Cricetulus griseus: one gene and its partner. Each later gene encodes a partner of the first gene's protein in a complex. Links are inferred from orthologs where the notes say so. Each region holds a gene or a part of one and is shown on either strand. Other genes may lie near its edges.

Region 1 (4,319 bases):
CACTCCCTAATTCTTTAATCCTATCAAAGAGTTCTACTCCCTGATGATTAAGCATTCAAATATATGAGCCTATAGGGGTCATTCTTATTCAAACCACCACAAGTAAACAAACTGTGTATAGCTGAGCCCTTCCTGGGACATATAGTGAAGACTACTTTGCATAGATATGGGACCAGTTAGACTCCTGGATTAGGTGGGCATGGTAGCACATGCTTGTAATCCAGAACTGGGAGGCAGAGACAGGGGAATCTCAATGACTCACTGCTTTAGTCTACTTGACAACCTAGTCTACTTGGTGAGTTCCAAGTTCCAGTGAGAGACCTTGTCTCAAAAAGCTTGTCTCAAAAAACAAGGTGGGTACTGAAGAAGTAGCTAATTTGCTATACAAATATGACAACTGGAATTCAGGTACAAGTACCTACGTCTATACCACAAGTATAGGGCTGTCCACCTGTAACCTCAGTCCTTGAAGGTGGAGACAGGGATCCCCAGGAAAAATTGCCTAACTAACAATCTGAGTCAGTGAACTTTGAGTTCAGAGAGAGACCCTGCCTCAATACATAAAGTAGAGATGACCAAGGAAAACATCCAGCACAAACTTCTGGTCTCTACATGTATGTGGGCACATGTATGCACCCCTCATCACACACATATACCACAATACACAAAAGGAAGAAAGAGTGAAAGAGAAAGGGAAAGAAAGAAAGAAAGAAAGAAAGAAAGAAAGAAAGAATGTTGATGGATAGTGTCTTAGTGTTTCTGTTGCTGTGAAGAGACACCATGACAATGGCAACTCTTATAAAGGAAAACATTTAATTAGGATGGCTTACAGTTTCAGAGGTTTAGTCCATTATCATCATGGTAATGTGCAGGCAGACATGGTGCTGGAGAAGGAACTGAGAATCCTCTATCTTGATCTGCAGGCATCAGAGGAGTCTATGTCCACACTGAGGGTAGCTTGAGCATAGAAGACCTCAAAGCCCACCCCCATGGTGACATACTTCCTTCAAGACCACACTTACTCCAGCAAGGCCATACCTCCTAATAGTGCCACTTCCTATGAGTGTATTTACATTCATGCTACCACAGTTTGCTCCTGAGAAATAACTTCCAGGTTTGACTTCTATCTTCCACATGCATGCACATGCACACACCTGCACACTCAGGAATACTCTCTCTCCCCCTACCTCAAAACTTGTGCTTCTGGATGATAAGGCACTGCCAAACTCCCTGAATGGAATCCAGAGCCAAGAGCCAAGTGTTCTCTGAAGGGGACATAAGATGAAGAGGACAAGAAGCACCTTCTTGTACACAGGCTGGGAATGTGGCTCACACATCCAGCTATTCAGAGCTGTTTCTGGAGCCAAGCTCCAGTCAAGATACTTGGGGACAGGACAGGATGACAAACTCACACAGCTCCTGTTCTTCAGGGGATCCACAATGGCAGGCTGTGGGGCTGACATTCTTTTTTTTCTTCTACAGGCTACAGGGAGCTGCTGACCTGGGATGTCGGTGTTCCGGTTGGTAAGGATGGTACTTACTGTGGAAGTTTCCCAAGGCTCAGTCAATCATCACTTTCAAGGAAAGAAGAGAGTCAAAGAGACCCCAGAAGGCAACTGGGGACTGTGGTTGAGGACTAGGAAGGGTTCTAATACTGGAAGAAAGTAATCATGGCTAATATTTACATCTCTGCCAAGTGGCCACTTGTGCACAGAAATTCCTCACTTGTATTTTGGGATTTAGAAGGGAGGTTACTGAGATGGGAGACAGCTCAGTCAGTAAAATGTTTGCCTTGTAAGCATGAGTATCTGAGGTTGATACCCCAGAGCCTACCTTGAAAAAAAAGAAGAGAATAAAAGAAAGGGGGGGGGGAGCAAGGTATGTTTGGTATTTGCTTGTAATCCTAGCTCTGAGGCTGTTGTCAGCCAACCTAGTTGAGTCTGTTAGTACCAGTCTGTGAGAGATCTGAGCTCAAAAAATGTGGTGGACAGCCCTGAGGAGCAGCAGCTGAGATTCTCCTCTGGCCTCCACATGCATGCACGCACACATACATCCACCTCTGCCCATACACTTTACACGCTTGGGGCAGGAATGGGGAGTTCCCATTTGTTGTCTTGTATGGAGCTTCCAAGAGCTTGCTCCGGGATAACAGGGTAGGAATAAGCCTGGGCCTGGGTAACCCTTGTTCTGTCCACTCTGTAAATGTCTATGTTTGTGTGGCTTGGCTAGGTAATGACTCCGTGTGTAGGAGGTGGAGTGAGAGCTTGTTAATTGTTTGAATCCAGAAACACAGAAAATGCTAGAGCCTGAGAATAATTCAAAAGTAAAACAGAGAAGGAGTGTGCTTTTATTCTCAGGTACTGTGAAGTTCAGATCTCAAGTAAACTGTGTATAGCTGAGCCCCTCACGTGACATAGAGAGATGGCTTATTTTTTTTTATTTTTTATTTTTTTTGCCTCAGAGGACAGTGATATGCAATACTACCTTAATAAAAGAAAGCTTAATTCAAACTACATACTTAGGGCAATGTACTACATTAGTATTACCAGTGTACACACTGTTAAACTATATGGCTTTGTAAGTAACCAGGTAAACCTTTTAGAAAATACAAGGTACTCTTTATATGGTACAGAGTGGTGTCATTACCGTGCTTCTGGTTTTGAATGAGTGTAAGTAGCCAATAGAGAGAAGCAGCAGATACATAGCAAGCATCATCCAATTGATGGTTATAGCATCCAGAAGATTGCAGCTGAGGAAGCCCTGACAAAACCATGACTCTGGAGTTAAAAGAACTTAGAAAGGGATGACATTGTCCTGGGAGGGTCAAATAAAAGCCAAAGCACCCAGGACTCAATGGGGTAGGTGTAAGCAGACAGACAACATGGAGCAAAGGGACAGACTATTCTACCTAAGGGAGAGGTAAACAGGCTTAGAGGTAACAAGCAGACCAAGCAGGCACAAAGGGTGAGCATCTCCTGGATCTCCAGCTTTCCCATGCGGGCTGACTTCTTTTTGTACCCAGCTATTGTAGCTGCCCCTAGCAGCAGCTTGTCTGGCACCAGCAATCTCTTTTAGATTTTGGCTGGGCCTGTGCCTCCCCAAGTTTTTCCTGAGTTGCTCACAGAAACTTTCCAAGCCTGGACATCTCTAAGTGTCAGGTCCTGTTGGTGCTGGCTAGTGTTGAAAGCACGTGGCTAGGAACACTCTTAAATCCTCTCTAGAAACCAATAAATATGTGGTGTAAAATAATGCCTCATAATTAAAACAAACATAATCATCAACAAAAACAAAGAAAAGCCACCATGAAGGTCTGGCATTTCCTCTTTAGTCTGATATGAAAATACCTTGACTCTACCACTCTGGAATACAGCCTGTGTTGAAGTCTCCTCTGGGCCTCCCATTTCCTTGATCCCAGTAGTCATCAGAACAGTGAAAATCAAAAAGTAAAGAAAACAATTAGGGAAGAGCACTGGGATATGTGACTGAATGCCTGTGGTACAGGAAATTCTAGGGGTGTAGTGATCCCTGGAGGGCCATTGGTAACCAAGAAGCTTTATGGGTGCCACCCATGTGGTACATTAACCAAGATAGCAGTAAAGTCACATGGTGGTCAGCATCTTAATGATACCACTAACCAAGATGGTGACCAAGTCACATGGCTATCTCCATCTTGATGAGATCACCAGCCAAGATAGTGACAAAGGAACATGTTTGCTTTTTTCTTATGGTGCAATAGAGGTTTCTCCAACTCCAATAACCAATAAGACTCTCACCCCCCACTTGAACTGAAAAACTCACTGACTCAGCTAGTCTAGCTAGGCAGCTTGCTCTGGGATCACATGTCCTTGCCTCCTGAGCACTGAGATTATAGGCAGACTGCCATGTAGGCACTAAGGATTGGAACTACAGTACTCATGCTTGTGTGGCAAGCTCTTTGCCCATTGAACCATTGTCCCTGACCTCAACCCACTCTTATCAAAGTTTTCTGAGAAATTATTGCCAAACAATTTCGTTGGGTAAACATAATGGAGTGCATTTGTACAAATGAAGATAGCTACTATAACTAGATGGTATAATGGGACCACCATTGTGTATGTGTCCATTAGTGACCTAATTGTTCTTACGTTACCTAAGATCATATGTGAGATTTCCTTTGCTGTATTTTTTAATTGCCTTTTGTCTGTGTGATAGTTGATATTGGTTGTCAACTTGATAGGATCTATGCCCTAGTTTGCTTTTCTGTTGCTGAAATAGACATCATGACCCAAGCATGTTGGGGGAGAAAGGGTTTATTTGGCTTACAGGTTACAGTTTATCAT
Region 2 (3,813 bases), on another chromosome or scaffold:
AAAGATGACAAGGCAGGGAGGAGTGCAAGAAAGTCCCTACAGAGGGGCTGCTTCTGGCTTCTGCGAGCAGGTGACTGTAGGTGGAGTTTTCTGTCCCAGCAGTCACTTCTCAAATAACCAACACAGAGGCTTAATAGCAGTTGTAAATGCTCGGCCAGTAGCTCAGGCTTGTTACTAGCTAACTCTTACATTTAAATTAACCCTCATTTCTTATCTCTGCTTTGCCATGTGGCTTGGTGCCTTTTCTCAGCACGGCAGGCCCATCTTGCTTCTCCCTGAATCTGCTCTCCTCACGCCACCATTCTTCCTTCCAGAATGCTCATTTTGGCTGTCCCACCTAACCTTTCCCTGTTCAGCTATTGGCCAGTCAGATTCTTTATTAAGCCAATCAGAGTAATACATGTTCACAGTGTAGAGAAGGGTTATTCCACAGCGGGTGACTTCTAGACAGAGACCTGGATAGCATGGAGCCTGCCAGGAGAATCTCCAGGGAAGGAATGTTCCAGGTTTGGGAACAGCACATGCAAAGTGAGTGATGAGGCTGGCCTCAGAGGCTGAGGGTAGGTAGAGGCTGGGGAGCGGCAGAGACTGCTGAGGGCCACAGAAACTGTTTGGACCATATTCTGGGAAGAATGGGGAACTTCCAGGAGCTAAGAGTGTGGAAGTCTGACACAGGCTGTGGGCTATAGGGTACTGAGCAGTGGAGAGGCTCAGTCAGGCTGGGTTCTAGCATGTTCTTTCACTGTGGTCTTGGGAGATTGTATAAATCAGCTCTGGGGGTATGAGACTGTGCAGGGAGGAGTTTCCATACCAGGGTTATTTGGGGGAAAGGGCACTGCCCCATCTTTTATTTTTGCTGTTTTGTTTTTCGAGACTGGCTGTCTTGGAGCTCACTCTAGACCAGGCTGGCCTTGAACTCAGAGATCTGCCTATCCCTGCCTCCTGAGTGCTGGGATTAAAGGTGTACACCACCACCTGGCTGCCTGTCCTAATTGTCTAATGCCTCCCCTGAAGGCCCAGCCCAGGGCTGGGATGGGATGGACACACAGGTGAAAAGTCCTTTTTTACAGACCCTGCCAGTCGGCTCCGTGGTGTTCTCTGTGCTGGCTTTGGACAAGGACACTGGGCCAGCAGGTTTAGTGAGGTACTACATAGAGAAGGTGAGTGTTGTAAATCGCTGGGTCCCCCAGGTGGGAGCCAGCATCCCTGTGCCTCGTGTCCACCAGGGGGCAGCATCCTCAAGGCAATCATAGCTCTGGCTCCGCCCCCCCACCTTTCTGACCACCCCATCACCCTCTGCTTTCTTCCCCACCCCGACGCCTCCCTCCACAGGGAAATCTCACTTTGCCCAGTTGCTGGAGGAGGGTCCAGTCCTCCCCCCCACCAGCCTCTCGCATGCTGAAGCATCCACAGCTCCCAGAGAGATCAAGGCTAGAGAGGCCTGGATCTTGCCAAAGCTCACCCAGACAATCAAAACACAAGTGTTTTGTGATGGCTGGTTTGCTAGAGATCCCACCACTACTTGAACACCAACTAAAAACTTACTTTCAACCCACCGTAGCAATTATATCAGCCAAGGGGAGAAACCAGGGTTCAGAGAGATTACAAGGCTTGGAAACATTGGCATTTCTAGCCAATGGAAGAGCCCGTATTTGGCCCTATGTCTCTCAGAGGAGGGTGTATGAACAGGTGTCACCCAAGTAGCCTCTGTTGTAGGTGATCCCCAGCAATGATGACAGCAAGAATCTTTTCTACATTCTGCAAAATGGCTCCATTGTGTTGAATGAAAGCCTGAGCTACAACAACAAGAGTGCCTTCTACCAGCTGCAGCTGAAGGCCTGTGTGAGTGCCCGTGTAACCAGAGCTAGGGGGCTCAGAGTTGTGGCACTGGCTCACAGGAGACCTTCTCGCCCACAGGACTCAGGCGGTGAGTGGAATAACAGCCAAGTCACCCTGTGCTCCCAGCCAGTCTTCCTGTCCATCTCAGTGGTTGATGAGCCGGACCTGGACCCCCAGTTCGTCAGGGAGTTTTACTCAGCCTCTGTGGCTGAGGATGCGGCCTTGGTATGTGCTGGGGACTGTGAGGGTGCAGGATAGCAGTGAGTGTCTAAGCAAAGGGTCAAATGCACTCATCAAACCTCCTCCCAGGGAACCTCAGTGCTGAAGGTGGAGGCCGTGGATGCTGACAAAGGCGTCAATGACAATGTGACCTACAGCATCACCAGTGAGAAGCAGGGTGTCCCCCGGAGGGCTGGGGTAAGGGTGGGGTGGTCAGAGCCCCTGGAAGAGCTGCTGCAAGTACCTCCCTATCAGACTCCACAAGGCCCGGATGGTTCAGCATCGAGAAAGATGGCGTCATCACGGTCAGCGGCGCCCTGGACAGAGAGCAGCTGCTGAATGACAATGGAGAAGTGCACATACAAGTGGCCGTGAGTGAGGCTCCTCTCTCTAACCCTTGCCCTTAGACCTCGCTCTCTGAGTATTGGTCTCTAACCCTTGACCTTAGACCTCGCTCTCTGAGTATTGGTCTCTAACCCTTGACCTTAGACCTCGCTCTCTGAGTATTGGTCTCTAACCCTTGACCTTAGACCTCGCTCTCTGAGTATTGGTCTCTAACCCTTGCCCTTAGACCTCGCTCTCTGAGTATTGGTCTCTAACCCTTGCCCTTAGACCTCGCTCTCTGAGTATTGGTCTCTAACCCTTGCCCTTAGACCTCGCTCTCTGAGTATTGGTCTCTGCCCCCTGCCTTCTGTTTTGTACCTCAGGCCACTGAGGGGCATCGTAACATCTACGGGCAAGAGGCCAAGGCAACTATCTGGGTCACAATAAGGGTGACAGATGTCAATGACCACAAGCCAGAATTTTACAACTGCAGCCTCCCAAACTGCTCCTTCAGCCCCCAAGAGGCCCAAGACAACTTCACAGGCTACGTGGATGAGCACACCTCTGCCCGAATCCCCATCGATTTCCTGACCATGGTGGCCTATGATCCAGATCAGGCAGGTGCACGGGAGGGGGAGCACCGCTGGAGAAGGGATGGGGGGGAGGGGTCACAGATGGGAGAAGGGGGTAGTGAAGGGGGAGGGAAAGAGAGTGGTGATGACTGGAGTTGAGACGGGCAGTGGATTACAGAGTATGCAGGATGATGGGTGGCGTCCACGGGGAACAAACGTAGAAATACGATGGTAAGGACGGTGGCGCCGATCCGGGAGTCGTGCAAAGTGGAGGTTGGTGCGTGCTGTCTGGCGACGTTCAGGGGAATACTGGGTGGTGCTGAGCAGAAGCAGTGTGGAATGGAGGTTGATATTGGGTGCTAGGCAACAGTGAGTGGCTGGGACACGGGGACACTGGTGCTGTTGGCTCTGGCTGGCCTGTGGTTTGGGGAAGTGGGTGTTTAAAGTGATCTGACTGATCAGCTTGGAAGGAACCACCACAGCGATGACGGGCGAGGGAACAGGCTGGGATGGGGTGGGAATATTATAGGGGTGGGGGGAGTGTGGCTTATGTCTCTAGCCCTGGGGACCCACAGTGCCTTGGGCAGTCTTCAACTGCCCAGGCTGCATTTACAGAGCTGAATAGCCAGCCCAACTTCCTGAGCCTGGATTATTGTCTAGGTCTTTCCTGACTCCCTCTGTGGGTCTCACTGGGCAGGGCTTCTGCAGAAAGCCTGAGCTTGACAACTGGGGAAAGACACACATAGGGGGTCAATCCCTACTACACCACCCTCCTTAACAGGGCGACAATGGTACCTTCCTGCTGTCCCTGGACGGCGAAGATGCTGACGCCTTCAACGTGTCCCCAGAGCGAGCGGCA

What was found.
Region 2: Myo7b (region 1) and Cdhr2 share a complex: the UniProt entries of both Homo sapiens proteins name them as parts of the IMAC/intermicrovillar adhesion complex. The link is inferred for Cricetulus griseus from reciprocal best matches to the Homo sapiens genes MYO7B and CDHR2.

Annotation. Positions count from the first base shown.
Region 1 is NC_048595.1:205,350,185-205,354,503, forward strand, and holds the start of Myo7b (unconventional myosin-VIIb), read left to right. Parts: upstream 1-1,506; coding exon 1,507-1,524; intron 1,525-4,319. UniProt on the Homo sapiens protein: Myosins are actin-based motor molecules with ATPase activity. Their highly divergent tails are presumed to bind to membranous compartments, which would be moved relative to actin filaments.
Region 2 is NC_048596.1:273,734,826-273,738,638, forward strand, and holds part of Cdhr2 (cadherin-related family member 2), read left to right. Parts: intron 1-1,070; coding exon 1,071-1,160; intron 1,161-1,716; coding exon 1,717-1,842; intron 1,843-1,917; coding exon 1,918-2,064; intron 2,065-2,148; coding exon 2,149-2,224; intron 2,225-2,313; coding exon 2,314-2,429; intron 2,430-2,765; coding exon 2,766-2,999; intron 3,000-3,735; coding exon 3,736-3,813. UniProt on the Homo sapiens protein: Intermicrovillar adhesion molecule that forms, via its extracellular domain, calcium-dependent heterophilic complexes with CDHR5 on adjacent microvilli. Thereby, controls the packing of microvilli at the apical membrane of epithelial cells.